Linked DNA regions of Styela clava. The protein of the gene in region 1 interacts with the protein of each later gene in a pairwise test. Links are inferred from orthologs where the notes say so. Each region holds a gene or a part of one and is shown in the gene's direction. Other genes may lie near its edges.

Region 1 (7,752 bases):
TTTCTTTTTGGCATTTCGACAACCTAACGACATTGCAGTTAACGCCAGAAAACGCATTAAAACATATACCAATTGTGACATAACAATAGAGCGATTTCTCTCTCCGAACTAGCAAAGTGTGTCGCAAAACAGTGGTAAATGGGCTGTCACCGTTAAAAAGAAAATTGTGATAATAATGAACATAATTTTTTTACCCATGAAAGCCGTGCTGACAAACCGGGACATTTGATTCAACCGGCCGGGACGCCGGGACAGCTTGTCAAAACCGGGACTGTCCCGGCTAAACCGGGACGTATGGTAAGCCTATAATGAGAGATCATCTTGATGCTGCAACTGTTTCGAAAGGGACATCTAAGGATATCCAAAATGATTTGCTCGACTCAATGTATAAAATTTATTTACAACATTTGGCTCTGGAAATTGAGAATTGCCAGTTCCTTTCGATTCAGTCTGACGAGACAACTGACATCACGTGCGTTTCCCAACTGGCTGTGATTTTTCGGTTTGTGAAAGATGGTAAACCTACCGAGAGATTTCACAGCTTTGTACCAATCGTTGATCGCACGGCTTGCGGGATATCGGCTGTACTGAAAGAAGTGTTACAGCCTTACAACGCGAAGTCAAAATTGATAGCTCAAACTTATGACGGCGCGGCAGTCATGAGTGGGTCGAAACATGGTGTTCAAGTTTATATAAAAGAAGATTTTCCTCATGCGCATTTTTTACATTGTTATGCACCCCATTTTAACCTCGTTATTAAAAATATGTGTCTTGATACCCCTCTCGTCCGTATATTTTTTGCAAATGTTTCGGGGTTTTCTTCATTTTTTTCCGTTTCGCCGAAGCGCTCTGACCTCCTTCGCCAGATATGTAGCCGCCGTCTCCCAGCTTGTGCACCAACACGTTGGAACTTCCAATCACGCGTGGTGCAGGGCGTGTCCGAAATTAGGTCTGAGCTCATTGAGTGTTTCAATGGCATTCAGAGCTCTCCGGTTTGGGACGAACGCTCTGTGAGGGAGGCGGCAGGTCTAAAGCGTCTGCTAGAAGATGGTGAGTTTTCATTTTTTCTCGCTTTTTTCTTCACAATATTCTATCACGTGGATGTATTATACGGCGCATTGCAGCCAAGGCTAACAGATGGAGCGTCTGTGCAGTCGTGTATTTCAGACTTCTGCGATGCTGTATCTGGTATCCGAGAAACAATAAAATACGACGACACATGGAGTGCTTCTTTACGCCGCGGGCAAACAACGCAGCGTTTGATTGTGTCTGCAAAGGAATGCTGTGACATTCTGGTGAATCAAATAGGCGATCGTCTGCGCACTGAACACCTTGCCGCGTTCTCTTTGATGAACCCCAAAAATTTTTCAAAATTTGCACGTCAATTTCCCATCCATTTGTTGGCTACTGTCTCCAAATTTTACCCCATGATAAACGTGGGTAAATTGGAAAATGAATTGCGATGTATATACACCAATCAAACTTTTTTGAACATCACATCAACTTGCGCGCTCTATGGGTTCCTCATAGATAACACTCTAGTAACTACCTTTGCGGCGTCTGCAAAATTTCTGGACATCATTTTGACGACGCCTATTTCTTCCGCCGACGCAGAGCGAACATTCAGCACGCTGAAGCGTATTAAAACGTATCTCAGAAACACAATGAAGCAAGATAGATTAAATTCCTTGGCTGTTTTATCCATTCACAGAGACGTTATTTCTGGGATGCATGACTTTAATCAGCGCGTTATTGAGCATTTTGCTTCCAAGAAACCGCGGCGTGTTGCATATATGTTCAAGCAGTAGAAGTCTAGCAGCATATATATCTATGAGTGAGCGACGCATGTTCTTATCTTTGCATTACCTTTCCTTTCTTCATAGTAACGTTTTAAACCTTATTTTAGGTTTTGTCTGCTTTCCCGAAGTTTCTGTTAATATGTCATTGTATTTATCTGGGTAAATATTGCCTTTCCGTTTGAAAGAGGTTTCAAAATAAACTATGTCTATATTTATTGATCCCTTGATTTGGACCGGTTTTGAAGACACTTTCTTATCGTTAAAAATTGTCGCTTTTGCCGATTGGTTGTTACCGATGGAATGGTTTTTATACTCATAAAATGATGGGAGAACTTACAGCGCTCATCCTGTCCCCGTAGATGGGGGTGACTTGGTCCAGCAGTAGCTTGCCCCGGTTGTCAAAATGACCACGCGCCGCCACTAGTAGTGGTATATATTTACGGTCTGACCAAGGTCTGGCTGACCAATGACATTGGGCTGACTCAAACTGTAAGCGTGGATGACTTACATTATTTGGCTTTATATTATTCGATTCCGAACCTGCAACGAAACTGATTGTAGTGTTGAAACAATTCATCTTTACTGCTTGTTATGCAAAACTGTATGTGTTGGCTATGCGCATTGCAAAAGACACTTCGAGAAAAAACATGTGAGAAGAGCCGTCGTATATCAACATTATAAATGTCCGAGATTCAAACTAGATGATCTAAGACAGAACAATATTAACAACCACGGGTTCACATGGAAATCACGCAGTGATTACTAAAACTGAACGACGCCTGGGAGTATGCAACAGAGGATCTGTCGATTTTCAATAATGATTCCATGAAAAAAAATGATAAAATAAAACTAAATCTGAACGAGGCCTGTGTGAATACACCAGACCTGACGATCACCCAAAATTCAATATTGAATCCATGAATCAACATCAAACCCAAAATAGAGATCAAGATGTGCTATTGGAAAAATGACCACTTGTCCAGTATGCAGAAAGGAAATGTGCTCAAGAAGGAAATGTGTCTGGAATGAGTCACAGTTCGTTGGAAATCATATTACAGTTTTTCAATCCATAGTTCTTGTTATTGAAAAAAACTGTAAGCTTATTTTAATTGCATCGAGTGCAAAACTTAACAGTTATTTCAGCCAACTTTCTCATTTACACAAAGTCGCTTTGAAAATTGTAATAGATACCTAACAAATTAGTAGTTGACGTAGCCAATTTTGTAGTAACATAACAGACATAGCAAGCATCGCCATTTTGGTAGAGACATAACCATTTTAGAATGGACATACCTTCTTTGTGAGGACATAGCAATTTCAGTACGAACATAGCCATTTTCACAGAGACATGGCCATTTTGGAAGTGACATAGCTTTTTTGAAATGGATATAGCCATTTAAGTAGGGCCATTGCCACTTTAGTTGGGACATAGTGGGCATCGGCATTTTTGTAGGGACATACTCATTTCAGTCCATTTTACTAGAATCATAGCGGGATCATTTTAGTAAGGACATAGCCATATTAATAAGGATTTGGCGGACATAGCCATTTTAGCAAGGACATAGCGGAAATCGCTACTTTGGTAGGGATATAGCCATTTTGGAAGGAACATAGCGAAATCGTGAATTTAGTAAGGATATAGCCATTTTAGTATAAACACAGGAAACATAGCCATTTAGGGTGTACATAGCTATTTTAGCGGAGACATATTGTATATATAGGCTTTGGTGTACATAGCCTTTTTAGCGGGGGCATGTGATTTCTACCGTAGTTGGTGAAAGAGTAATTTGGTAATACATTTTTGGTTTGTTTCTATGATCACATAGGCTATATCTTTAAGAGTATTTTTTAAACAATAACAATAATATTTGATTAGTCGTTTTTTGTATAATCATGGACCTTTCCCCGAGCATCGACTTTCTTGTTTACTTCGTGACATTGGCCAATCAGCAAGATGCAACAAGTAACGTAACAATGCCCGCTTTTTACATCCGCCCAGACACTTTTCTCACTCAGACAGATTTTCAGACGTGGTTGTGAACATCACCTCGTTTTCGCGTTTTCGAACTATATTCGTTAGTTTTCAATTGTGTTTTGGAAATTTAAATGTAAATCGGATAATCCAACGATCACTATGTATTTTTAAAAGTTTTAATTTATTCGCAGTAATGAAGAATTGGTGTAGAAATAGCTGTGATAGACTAGTCTAAAATTTCTTACTGGTACTTTTAAAAAACTGTTCATTGTACGCGATGAATTATATATAATAAGGGTTTTAAACAAATACCCCATTTACAGGGGCCAACTCGCGGAACTACTCCTAAAATGAGCCCCGCAAATTTTGCAATGGTTAAGAATAGGAAGAATTTTTCTGGTGTCAAAGGTCAAGAAAAGGTCTTAAATTCTTTTTTAATGTCCGGTTAAATACTGTCACCAGGGACGCCATTGAGCAGAAAGGGGATGTTTGGTTCCCGGCGCGAAATTTCTGAGCAGTTTAACACAACTCTGCAACTAGGCTAGTTCTTTTAATGCCGTATTCATGTCTTCTCGGAATGAAGTCCGATTTCTTGCATTCACTGAAGAAGGGAGAGAGAATGTTGAAGCAGCTCACAAAGTAAGTCAATATCGGTACCGCATTTTTGCATTTTGGACAGGATATTATTCACATAACGGTATTTATCCCGGGGATAGGAAACCCGAAAACACAGAAACACGGCCTAAATATGTTTATAGTTCAGTAGTCTGGATAATGCTGACGTATTGCAGGAATAGGGTTTTTTCTGAAAAATACAGAAATATAAATTATAATTCTCAATTGAATGCGAGAGCAGCTCAATAAATACAGAAATATGACTTTTCACAGCTTGCTTCTGAGAATAAACTTAAGTGTACATGGGTGACTGTAGAAGAAGTGAATAACTTGGAAGATTCTAAGGACAGCAAGGAAGAAATTGTGTATGTTGCTGATCCAATTGAAGGTAGGCCTAAGCCTGTGTCTGTATTTTAAAATAGAAGAATATTTTTTGTTTTACCTGTGACTGTTTGGAAAAATATGTAGACTATGTTATTTCCAGATTTTTTAATGTGATTTCGTTTTACGTGTTCTACCTTCTCATTTAAATTTGGAATTTTCAAAATTTGAGGCAGTAAGATTTAGTTGCTCTGCTGATTCTGTAATCAGTTTTTATTTGTTTGTTTTCATCAATTGTTTTGTTTATTATGCTGATTATGAAGTCAAAATTAACTTATACTTATGATTCCTAGATACATGTAAAGAACAGTACGTCACAGTTTACTGATTCCAGAAAATCCAATTAAAAGACAACAATTATAACAGTGAAGGCAAACCCGACCTTTACGAGACGGTTTAAGTCTCCATATCGCAACATATCGACACACCGGTACTGTGCAATATTCTAATAGGAAGCGCAGTCTAGAAATAGCACCATCCTCAGAAAAAAATTTTAACAGAGCATTCGATCGGAAGATTTTAGCAAAAACGCATTTGCCGTTGTGCAAGACATCCTCGTTTTAGAAACAAATAGAGTTTTTATTTCATTGAATCAAATGTTGGCCAATCTTAAAAATCGGGAAACTGTGATCTACTGACTTATGTTATATAACAGTCTTATGTAGTTCATTTATTTCAGTAATTGATAAACAAATAATTAATTTGCTCCTTAAATTGAACAGACTTATTGAGGGCACAGTGACTTTGGTTCATTATATGATCAAGCCATAATTATTATCTTTCTTCTCTCTCTCAAGAAGAAAAGAATCCTTTAAATAACTGAATATTTTCCAGGTCCTGAAGTTGGAGATGTTATTGACCATCTTGTGAATCTTAACTATCCTGTACTTGGTCCACAATGTGCATTGACTGTTCTAAAACATGGAATCAGACTTCAAGATGATTTGAAATATCCTCTTTATACTCTCACATTGCTTAATACAACAATTTGTTTCTCAAATATTCAAAATGAAGAAAGAGTATGTGTATTATTATTTGTAGTGAAGATACTATCGTTAACTTTTAAATATAAACATCTATATTCGGACCAATTTACTGGGGAAAGGGGTTGTTTTTAAATTTACATTTGAGAAAAAAAAAATTGTATACATAATGCTATAATGACAGATTTTTTACCATCGATTTTATTAGTGATAATTCATTGTAATATTTAATCATTATGCCTTCAAAGGAATCTTCTTAGTTATTTATATACTAATCATATTGCTATAAATTACAGAAGTCAGTATGCAAAGAGAATCTGCTATAAGCATAATAGGTCATTATTTGTGGAGCTTTGCCTCTGCTTTATTTACATTTTTTGGTATTTTGTTAGTGATCCACTTTGATTTTAATTTATTATTATCACTTTTATTTGAATTTTCTGATATAAATCAAATCAAGTTTCAGTATTTATCACTAATATCACCAGTACATTCCTTACATAAAAAGTGATTGCCTTTATAATGCTTTTGTGTAGATAGAACTTGTGCATCTAGTTGAACTTATGGGTGGAAAAGTGTCACGACCATTGCATTGTGATGTCACTCATCTTGTTGTTGGTGAAGTCGGTTCTGTCAAATATTTTACTGCAGCTTCAATAAATATTAAAATTATGACAAAGGAATGGATATATCATTTATGGAAGCATGGAATGTCTAGGTATGACAGAATTCGATCAGTGATAACAAATATACGCCTGTGATGTCTGTATAATTTATATGAAATTGATGATACCGTGTTTCCCCGATAATTAGACCTCGCCTGAAAATAAGACCTAACCTGGATTTTAGAAAATATTTTAAGATAATCTCTCCCTTTTTAAATAAGACTTAGTGGATAGCGCGAAATTTTTTTGACCTAGTCTTATCATATTTTGTATATTTGAAAATCTTGTAAATATCTACTTTATAATTTTGTTTTTGATAAATGAAAATAAAAACATCTTTCCAAAAGAAGCCCTAGTGTTATTTTCAGAAGAAAATTGAAATACAACCCTGTTTTAGTTTCGGGGAAACACTGTATATATTTATAAGTTCTTATCCAAGAATCAAAATTTGAGATGAACACTTTTTTTATAGTATTTATTTACAAAATAGGTCCATGAATACGTCCAATGTACATGATAAAATTTGGAATGAAGAGTAACATCCTTTTCACACAATGTGTTTATTCACCTTTTTACTCTGACCTAGGCTCTGAACGATCACCCAAGCTATGTAAGGAGGTTCTATAGTTTGGCGGAACCGGAATATTTCTAATTCCTCATTGTCAGCTCAATTTGTGACACCTTGGGTAAGGTGGTGCGCACAGGACTTGAACCCAAGATTTTAACTTTAACCAAGCTTTGACTTTTATCACTACATAGGAATGCCAGTATTTGATTTTTTAAAGTATTATTTTTGACTTGATATAAGATTCTAATATTGTAATATTTGGATTTGTCCAGTTTCATCTGATTTAATTATTTTTATTTAAGCTTAATAAATATTTTTTGTTTTAGGTATATTTGTGCTAAAGATGGCAAATGGGAAGAATTTTTGTGCCCGATATTTCTTGGATGTAAAGTTTGTATGACAGGTTTTGGAACAACTGAGAAAACCAGAGTTCAAAAATTAGTCACGAAGTTTGGTGGAGATTATAGTGGAGCAATGAAGTTGAACTATACAACTCATCTTATTGTCAATAAGCCAGAAGGTTGAATTATTCTTCATTTATATACAAAATCATATGTGCACTTTATTTCGGTGTGATTTGTTGAGTATAACCCAGGACAATGCATTTTTTCATCACAGAATATATACTTTAATTACCTATTTTAGTTTGGAAAATTGGAAATTATCTTAGTTCGGAAAATTGGAATAATATATTCACCTGAATGTATAATACATTTATTCTTTATTGATTACGAATTCTCTATATCAACAAGCACAAATGTTCAAA
Region 2 (8,380 bases), on another chromosome or scaffold:
GGGTCTTACTACTTACTGAATACAGCGTGAAACACCGCAAAGAGCGCAAAACAGCGCAAAATAGCGCGAAACAGCGCAAAAGAGAGGAAAACAGCGCGAAACAGAAGGAAACCAGCGCAAAACAGAGGGAAACAGCGCAAAACAGGAGACGCAGTCATTACCACCTCCAGTATTATATATACGCTTTGGTCATTACCACCTCCTGCCACGAAAGAACCACGGCGCCTCTCGCCATGGTTTTATGGCGCTATTTCCGGCATATTTACAAGGTTATGTACCGGATTATAGGTCATCATGCGAAATTTTATCTACCTTTTTGGTACTCCAGAAGTATGTGCAGCAATATGTCGCACAACCTGAATCCGCTACACACACACACACACACACATACTATTTTTAGGTTGTGCGCCATCTTGGTGCACATACTTCTGGAGGTCGCTTTTCACCTAACCCTAACCCTAAAGCCAACCATATCCATATGGAAAATGTTCTGAATTATGGTACCCAAAATGTGTCACCAGCAGGGGCAGACCTGCCATTACAGCATTACTAGCTACATACGTTGGTTTGTGTTTTTAATTTGCTGCCGTGGTACTCCAACTCAAAACAAGGTGCCCCGAACTCATTGCAAAATTTTTTTCTGCTTTACACTGTTTCCCTCTGTTTTGCGCTCTTTCGCGCTGTTTCCCTCTGTTTTGCGGTCTTTCGCGCTGTTTCCACACTGTTTTGCGCTGTTTCCCTCTGTTTTGCGCTGTTTCGCGCTGTTTTGCGCTCTTTGCGGTGTTTCGCGCTGTATTCAGTAAGTAGTAAGACCGGTGTTTAAGGCTGTAAGGTGTTGATTAGGTCGTCATACAATTCATCGAATTTTAGTATATTTAGTAATATAATATTATGTAGAATAAAAGTAAAAAATTGTTTTATTGTACGTGCTATCCAAACGGAAACATACATGTGTACGGGACGGACTAAAAGTAGGCACTTGCAAATTAGGCACTTTTTTAGGCACTCATTTAGGCACTTTGGAAAAAAGTAAAAAGGGCGTAATACCTTGTAATAACATAATTAATTAGTTAAATATGGTCAAATTAAATGTTGAAAACGCAAATTGCAACGGGCAAACTCAATAGCAATATTTAAAACGCAGTATTAAAGGCAGTCGCACGCGCTTGGTCACCACATAAGCTAGGCACTTCGAAAAATAAATAAAATGGCATATTCACTAATAAAAGAAAGAGAAATAAAAATATTACCCACACTGATTAGCCTGAGTAAATATCTAAGAGATGCACTTGAGTCCAGTACTGGAGTTTAGAAATAATAAATTGTTACCGGTAGGCACTTTTTTAGGCACTTATTTAGGCACATCGAAAAAAAGGTGAAATGGACGTAGTAACTCCTAGAAAGATAATGAATTAGTTCAAAATATTTAAATTAAATGTTGAACGCGAAAATTGCAACAGTTAAACCCAATACTGTAATGATTTTTAAAACGTAGTACTAAAGGGAGACGCACGCGCTCTGTCACCACATATGCTAGGCACATATTTAGGCACTTCGAAAAATAAAGAAACTGGCAATTATCACTATTAAAAGACAGGGAAATAAAAATATCACCCACACTGATTAGCCTGGGTAAATATCCAACAGATGCACTTGAGTCTAGTACTGGAATATAGAAATAATAAATTGTTACCGGTAGGCACTTATCTAGGCACATCGAAAAAAAAGGTGAAATGGACGTAATAGCTTTTAAAAAGATAATTAATTAGTTAAAAATTGTCAAATTAAATGTATAGCACGCAAATTGCAATGGGTGAACCGAATAACAATATTTAAAACGTAGTATTAAAAGGAGTCACACGCGCTCGGTCACCACATATGCTAGGCACATATTTAGGCACTTTAAAAAAAGAAGAAAATCGGAATTATCACCAATAAAAGACAGAGTATCAAAAATTTTACCCACACTGATTAGCCAGGGTAAATATCCAATAGATGCACTTGAGTCTAGTACTGGAATTTAGGAATAATAAATTGATACCGGTAGGCACTTATTTAGGCACTCCGAAAAAAAGGTGAAATGGACGTAGTAACTCCTAGAAAGATAATGAATTAGTTCAAAATATTTAAATTAAATGTTGAACGCGAAAATTGCAACAGTTAAACCCAATAACGATTTTAAAACGTAGTATTGAAGGGAGACGCACGCGCTCTGTCACCACGTATGCTAGGCACATATTTAGGCACTTCGAAAAATAAAGAAAATGGCAATTATCACTAATAAAAGACAGAGAAATAAACATATTACCCACACTGATTAGCCTGGGCAAATATCCAATAGATGCACTTGAGTCTAGTACTGGAATTCAGGAATAATAAATTGTTACCGATGGGCACTTCGAAAAAAAGGTGAAATGGACGTAGTAACTCCTAAAAAGATAATGAATTAGTTCAAACTATTTAAATTGAATGTTGAACGCGGAAATTGCAACAGGTAAACCTAATAACGATTTTTAAAACATAGTATTAAAGGGAGACGCACGCGCTCTGTCACCACATATGCTAGGCACATATTTAGACACTTCGAAATATAAAGAAAATGGTAATTATCATGAATAAAAATACAGAAAATGAAAATATTAGTCAAAATTATTAGCCTATTTGAATATCCGATGAATGCACTTGAGTCTAGTAGTGATATTTGAGAATAATAAATTGTTACCGTTAGGCACTTTTTAGTCACTTGTTTAGACACTTCTAAAAATGCGTAAAATGGGCGTAATAACTTTTAAAATGATAATGAATTAGTTTAAAATATTCAAATTAAAAAATTAATATGCAAATTGCAACAAGTAAACCCAATGATATCGGTTTTTATATTCTGCATATTTGAAAATATATTAATTCTTTACTTTGTAATTTTGTTTTTGATAAATTAAAATATAAGACATCCCTCGAAAAAAAGCCCTAGTGGTAATTTTAGGAAGAAATTTGAAATAAGACACTGTCTTAATTTCGGGGAAACACGGTAAAAGGTGTCTACCGGTAACAATTTATTATTCTCAAATACCACTACTAGACTCAAGTGCATCTATTGGATATTCACCCAGTTCCAGGCTAATCATTTTGACTAATATTTTTATTTTATTTTTTTTTATTGGTGATTATTCCCATTTTTTTTTCGATGTGCCTAGCATATGTGGTGACAGAGCGCGTGCGTCTCCCCTTAGTACTAAGTTTTAAAAATCATTATTGGGTTTAACTGTTGCAATTTTCGCGTTCAACATTTGATTTAAATATTTTGAACTAATTCATTATCTTTCTAGGAGTTACTACGTCCATTTCAACTTTTTTTCGATGTGCCTAAATAAGTGCCTATCGGTAACAATTTATTATTTCTAAATTCCAGTACTAGACTCGAGTGCATCTATTGGATATTTGCCCAGGCTAATCAGTGTGGGTAATATTTTTATTTCTCTGTCTTCTATTGGTGATAATTCCGATTTTCTTCTTTTTTCGAAGTGCCTAAATATGTGCCTAGCATATGTGGTGACCGAGCGCGTGTGACTCCTTTTAATACTACGTTTTTAATATTGTTATTCGGTTCACCCATTGCAATTTGCGTGTTCAATATTTAATTTGACAATTTTCAACTAATTAATTATCATTTTAAAAGTTATTACGCCCATTTCAACTTTTTTTCGATGTGCCTAAATAAGTGCCTAAAAAGTGCCTACCGGTAACAATTTATTATTTCTAAATTCCAGTACTAGACTCAAGTGCATCTATTGGATATTTACCCAGGCTAATCAGTGTGGGTAATATTTTTATTTCTCTGTCTTTTATTAGTGATAATTGCCATTTTCTTTTTTTTTCGAAGTGCCCAAATATGTGCCTAGCATACGTGGTGACAGAGCGCGTGTGTCTCCTTTTATTACTACGTTTTAAAAATCGTTATTGGATTTAACTGTTGCAATTTTCGCGTTCAACATTTAATTTAAATATTTTGAACTAATTCATTACCTTTTTAGGAGTTACTACGTCCATTTCACCTCTTTTCCGAAGTGCCTAAATAAGTGCCTACCGGTAACAATTTATTATTTCTAAATTCCAGTACTAGACTCAAGTGCATCTATTGGATGTTTACCCAGGCTAATCAGTGTGGGTAATATGTTTATGTCTCTGTCTTTTATTAGTGATAATTGCCATTTTCTTTTTTTTCGAAGTGCCTAAATATGTGCCTAGCATATGTGGTGACCAAGCGCGTGCGACTGCCTTTAATACTACGTTTTAAATATTGTTATTGAGTTTGCCCGTTGCAATTTGCGTTTTCAACATTTAATTTGACCATTTTTAACTAATTAATTATGTTTTTAAAAGGTATTACGCCCTTTTTACTTTTTTTCCAAAGTGCCTGAAAAAGTGCCTAATTTGCAAGTGCCTACTTTTAGTCCGTCCCCCCATGTGTACCTACTACCTACCGAGCAGTGGAGTAAACGCCTACGTACCATGCGTTGCGCCGAGAAAAACAAGTGAAAACATCAACATACAGGGATGCGAGGTGACGCTCATGAGCTTATCAGTCACTTTCGTGGGATTCCAGTATGATACGATACTGAAGAAAAAATTGTGTTTATTGCAAAAACAAAATATGTATATTACACAACATGATATGAAATTGGAAAGTTTACATCTAAAACATTGATTAAACAATGCGCGGTCGTATTTTGTTTTAAGAAAATCTGGCAACTCAGTTGAGGAAACACAGCCCGGTGAATTTGAAAATCGAAACAAGAAGTCTCGGGAAATGATGAAGATTGTGGTTGAGTCGTATCTTTTTGTGCGACGGTCTTATGATATTTCTTTATCAGCTCTTCATTGAGATTTTCTGATGTACTTAAAAACCTCAAAATCGTTGTCATTTAGGTCATGGTAGTTATAACTACGTTAGTACGGCGGAACCAGTAACTTATCGTTAGTCAGTCACGGCACCGTACCGGTACCGGTATTTCTGTATTTAAGCAGTTAAACTGGGAAAGTTTTATTATTTGTCAACCAGGAAAAAACAGTCATGATATAATAATAATGATGAAGCAATAAGAATAACGTTTCTTTAGCCAGAGTCATGATTGGAAATCACTTACCGTTATTGCTGTAGCCTATATTGCATGCAAAAAATAATTATTGACAAAATATTCAATAATAGTCAAAATTCAAAAATTTTCTCCAGACAATAAAAGTTAACAAGCTCATAAATATTACTTATTGTTTTTCAATAAGATTTGTTGATCTGTGATCTTCATGAAAATATTAGTACAAGGGATAGCAATATAACTAATTTTGAATATATCCGATTCGTTTTGGACATTTCTAATTACCCAAATGCAATCAAAGTAAAATATAATTATAGTTGTATACTGAACTGTACTAGACCCTATTTATCTACTGGTCATGTTTTGGTAGTTATTAATTATATTGTTGAAAATATCTCACAAATATAAACCATCACCGTTTTGCATCTAGACAACTAGTATTCATCATAGAAAATAGGGCCATGGATGGACGAGGAATGGATGTCGACCTTGCATCAAATGTCAAGTCATTGGCAATGGGAATCACACAATATCAATATCATAAATCAGAAAGTAATCTGTCTCATGTACTTCGCCATACTGAGGTTTTGCTCGGGGCATTAAACATGCATTCATCACACCAGCTTTTCAATTCAAGAAGTGTTCTTGGTTCCGAATGTATCGCATCAATGGTAAAGTTGATATCAGATTCTACGACGGATTCCCATTTATTAAGTAAAATAGTTGAGCTACTCAATACAATTTCAAAAGTCACAGATGTATGCTCTCATCTCCAAGAATCATTCAGCTTGGCTTCTGTGCTGTGTTTGTATATTGTACAACACTGTCAATTAGAACATTGTAGTCACATAATGCCCTCTGCTCTATTGCTTCTGGAAAAAGTTACATATGCCAGACCTATATCTTCTGGTATAAGTCATCTGAATCAATTATTAACATATATTTTACAAGAAATTGAAAAAGGAGAAAGTGATACTGGCCTTCCATGCTTGAGGGTTTTAAACAATCTAATTGTGAACAATATGTCAATACAGATTCAAACCAAAGCTCTTATGAATTCAAAAAGAACAAAGAATTTCATGTTGTTATTGAAGCATGGAGTATCTCAACAAAGTATTTTGTCACTTTCGATTCTAACGTGTATATTTTGGGGAGATGATATTGCCAAAAAACTATACAGATCTCAGAATTGGTTTAAGGCAATGAAATTAATTTTTTCCACTTTGAGTGGATATGTGAATTCAGATGCATTAACAGTAGCGGCTGATTTATGTACGGAACTTTTGAAACATGGAGAAATAGCTCAGCAACTTGCTATGTACGAAGAAGAAAATAGCTGCTCTACTAAGTTGTTTGATCATCTCAGTGAGGTACCGCGATCTTCATCAAAGATTCTTCAGGTTATTTGTGCTTTTTGTCACATAGGTTTGGTTCGATCAAGCATATGCCAGCGAATTTTAAAGGATGATATGCGTTGCTGGAAAATATTGTTAAACGTTGCTAGGGCTGAAAAACACGATCTATCAACATCATTGGAAAACTCACCATCACTTCTCGCTCTTGATTTGGTGAAAGAAATGTGTGAGGAAGTTGTAGAATCTGCAAATGAACCAATGAATGAGTGGACAAACTATCTATTTGCTACGTTAAATATCCACTTATCACAACCATTTCATAATGATCCTTCCCAGCTCAAGTTCTGTCTTCTTAAAATTTTAAAAAGTTTGCAAATTTTGCTTTGCCTATCATCTGAAGATGATGATTTACTATCAAAAGTTGGCAAGAATGTGAATTGTGATGTTTTAGAATCTGTACTTGAACATCAACTTACTCAAAATCTTACTGGAATTGTTACAACACAACCTGATTGGAGTGAAATCGGAGTTGATGTTGTTTTAACCACACTCGAGTTAATGCTCAAGGTGAAGCATGTTGTGCCAGGATTGGAAAAAGTAATGTATAAAACTTTACAAGAAATAAGAATGGTGCCATTTCTTGTTGCTGCTTTATCCAGTGGTAAAAGTAGTAAAGTTCAATGTGCTTTGCGCCTTCATCAAGAAGCTTCTTCTTTACCTGACTTTCCTTCAGTTTTACTCGGTGAAAGGATGGCTGAAGTCAATAATAAAAGAGAAAATTTTAACAGTGGTATTAGAATGCACAAGATTTCAGTACATGATGCATCAAAGGATTTAAAGACTGTGCAGTCTAATTTTGATCGACCTGATGCTATCTGGAATGATGTACATCGCACCAATGTTCTTGACAACATAAGCGTCGCTTCTGTTTCAAGTAGTTCTTCTTGTGAGGATAAAGAAAATCTTGATTCGCTAATTAACAAAATGCAGGGTAAATTGCAGGTTGATAAAAAACTGTCTGGAAGGACATCACAGATAGTGGAAATGTATGAACAGAAGATATCATCTCTCCAAACTAAAGAAAGCCACTTGCAGGATCTACTTGATGCTAAAGCTCTAGCACTTGCCCAGGCTGACCGGGTTATTGCTCAAAATAGATGTCAACGAATACAATCTGAAGAAGAATCAAGGAGATTGGCTCATATGCTGCAAGAATCTGAGATTAAATGTGAACACCTACTTTTGGAGATTCAAAGAGTGGAATCGAATCAGAAAGATGTTGAAAAAGAGCTCGAATCTACTGTGGAAGAAAACAAAAATTTGCAAAAAATAGCAGAACAATACGATAGCTTGCAAGCGGCGTTTAACGATAAAAAACATAGAATTGAAGTGCAGGAAAGAAATCTGGCTGCTCTTTCCCAAGAGTATGACACATTAAAAGAAATGCATGATATGTTCCAAAAACACAATGAAAAATTGAAACAACAGATGAATGAAGGGGTACATAGACTTGAAGAGTTGGAAGAAGAGAGGTTAAAACTTCTGAAAGATGCAGGGGACAAACAAATGCAAATTCACGAACTTGAAGGTCTTGTGATGGAGAGTGAGAAGGTTGCAAGACAACTTCTTGATGAGAAATCAGAGCAAGAAGTTTTAATCAAGAATTTGAAGTCGAATATACAAAACTTAGATGAGGAAGCAAAAAGTCAAAAGATAAAGCTTTCTTCTCTTGATCGAACTAAACAACAATTGGAACATCAATTGAAAGAACGTGGAAATGAAATTAAAAGACTTCATCAGAGAAATGATACACAAGAGAAAAAGGTTGTTTCTTTATATTCTGAAAAAGAAACTCTTACTCAAGAAATTTCAACCAAGGATGATGAAATTAAGAAACTTCATGAGAAGTTAACAGAACAGAAGCAGACTTTC

What was found.
Region 2: the proteins of DNA topoisomerase 2-binding protein 1-like (region 1) and protein CIP2A homolog interact in a two-hybrid assay, tested with the Homo sapiens proteins (2 studies listed by BioGRID). The link is inferred for Styela clava from reciprocal best matches to the Homo sapiens genes TOPBP1 and CIP2A.

The regions. Positions count from the first base shown.
Region 1 is NC_135257.1:5,646,070-5,653,821, reverse strand, and holds the start of DNA topoisomerase 2-binding protein 1-like, read left to right. Parts: upstream 1-4,257; 5' UTR 4,258-4,338; coding exon 4,339-4,413; intron 4,414-4,662; coding exon 4,663-4,777; intron 4,778-5,604; coding exon 5,605-5,789; intron 5,790-6,289; coding exon 6,290-6,471; intron 6,472-7,312; coding exon 7,313-7,506; intron 7,507-7,752. UniProt on the Homo sapiens protein: Scaffold protein that acts as a key protein-protein adapter in DNA replication and DNA repair. Composed of multiple BRCT domains, which specifically recognize and bind phosphorylated proteins, bringing proteins together into functional combinations.
Region 2 is NC_135253.1:5,664,626-5,673,005, reverse strand, and holds the start of protein CIP2A homolog, read left to right. Parts: upstream 1-5,380; 5' UTR 5,381-5,554; coding exon 5,555-8,380.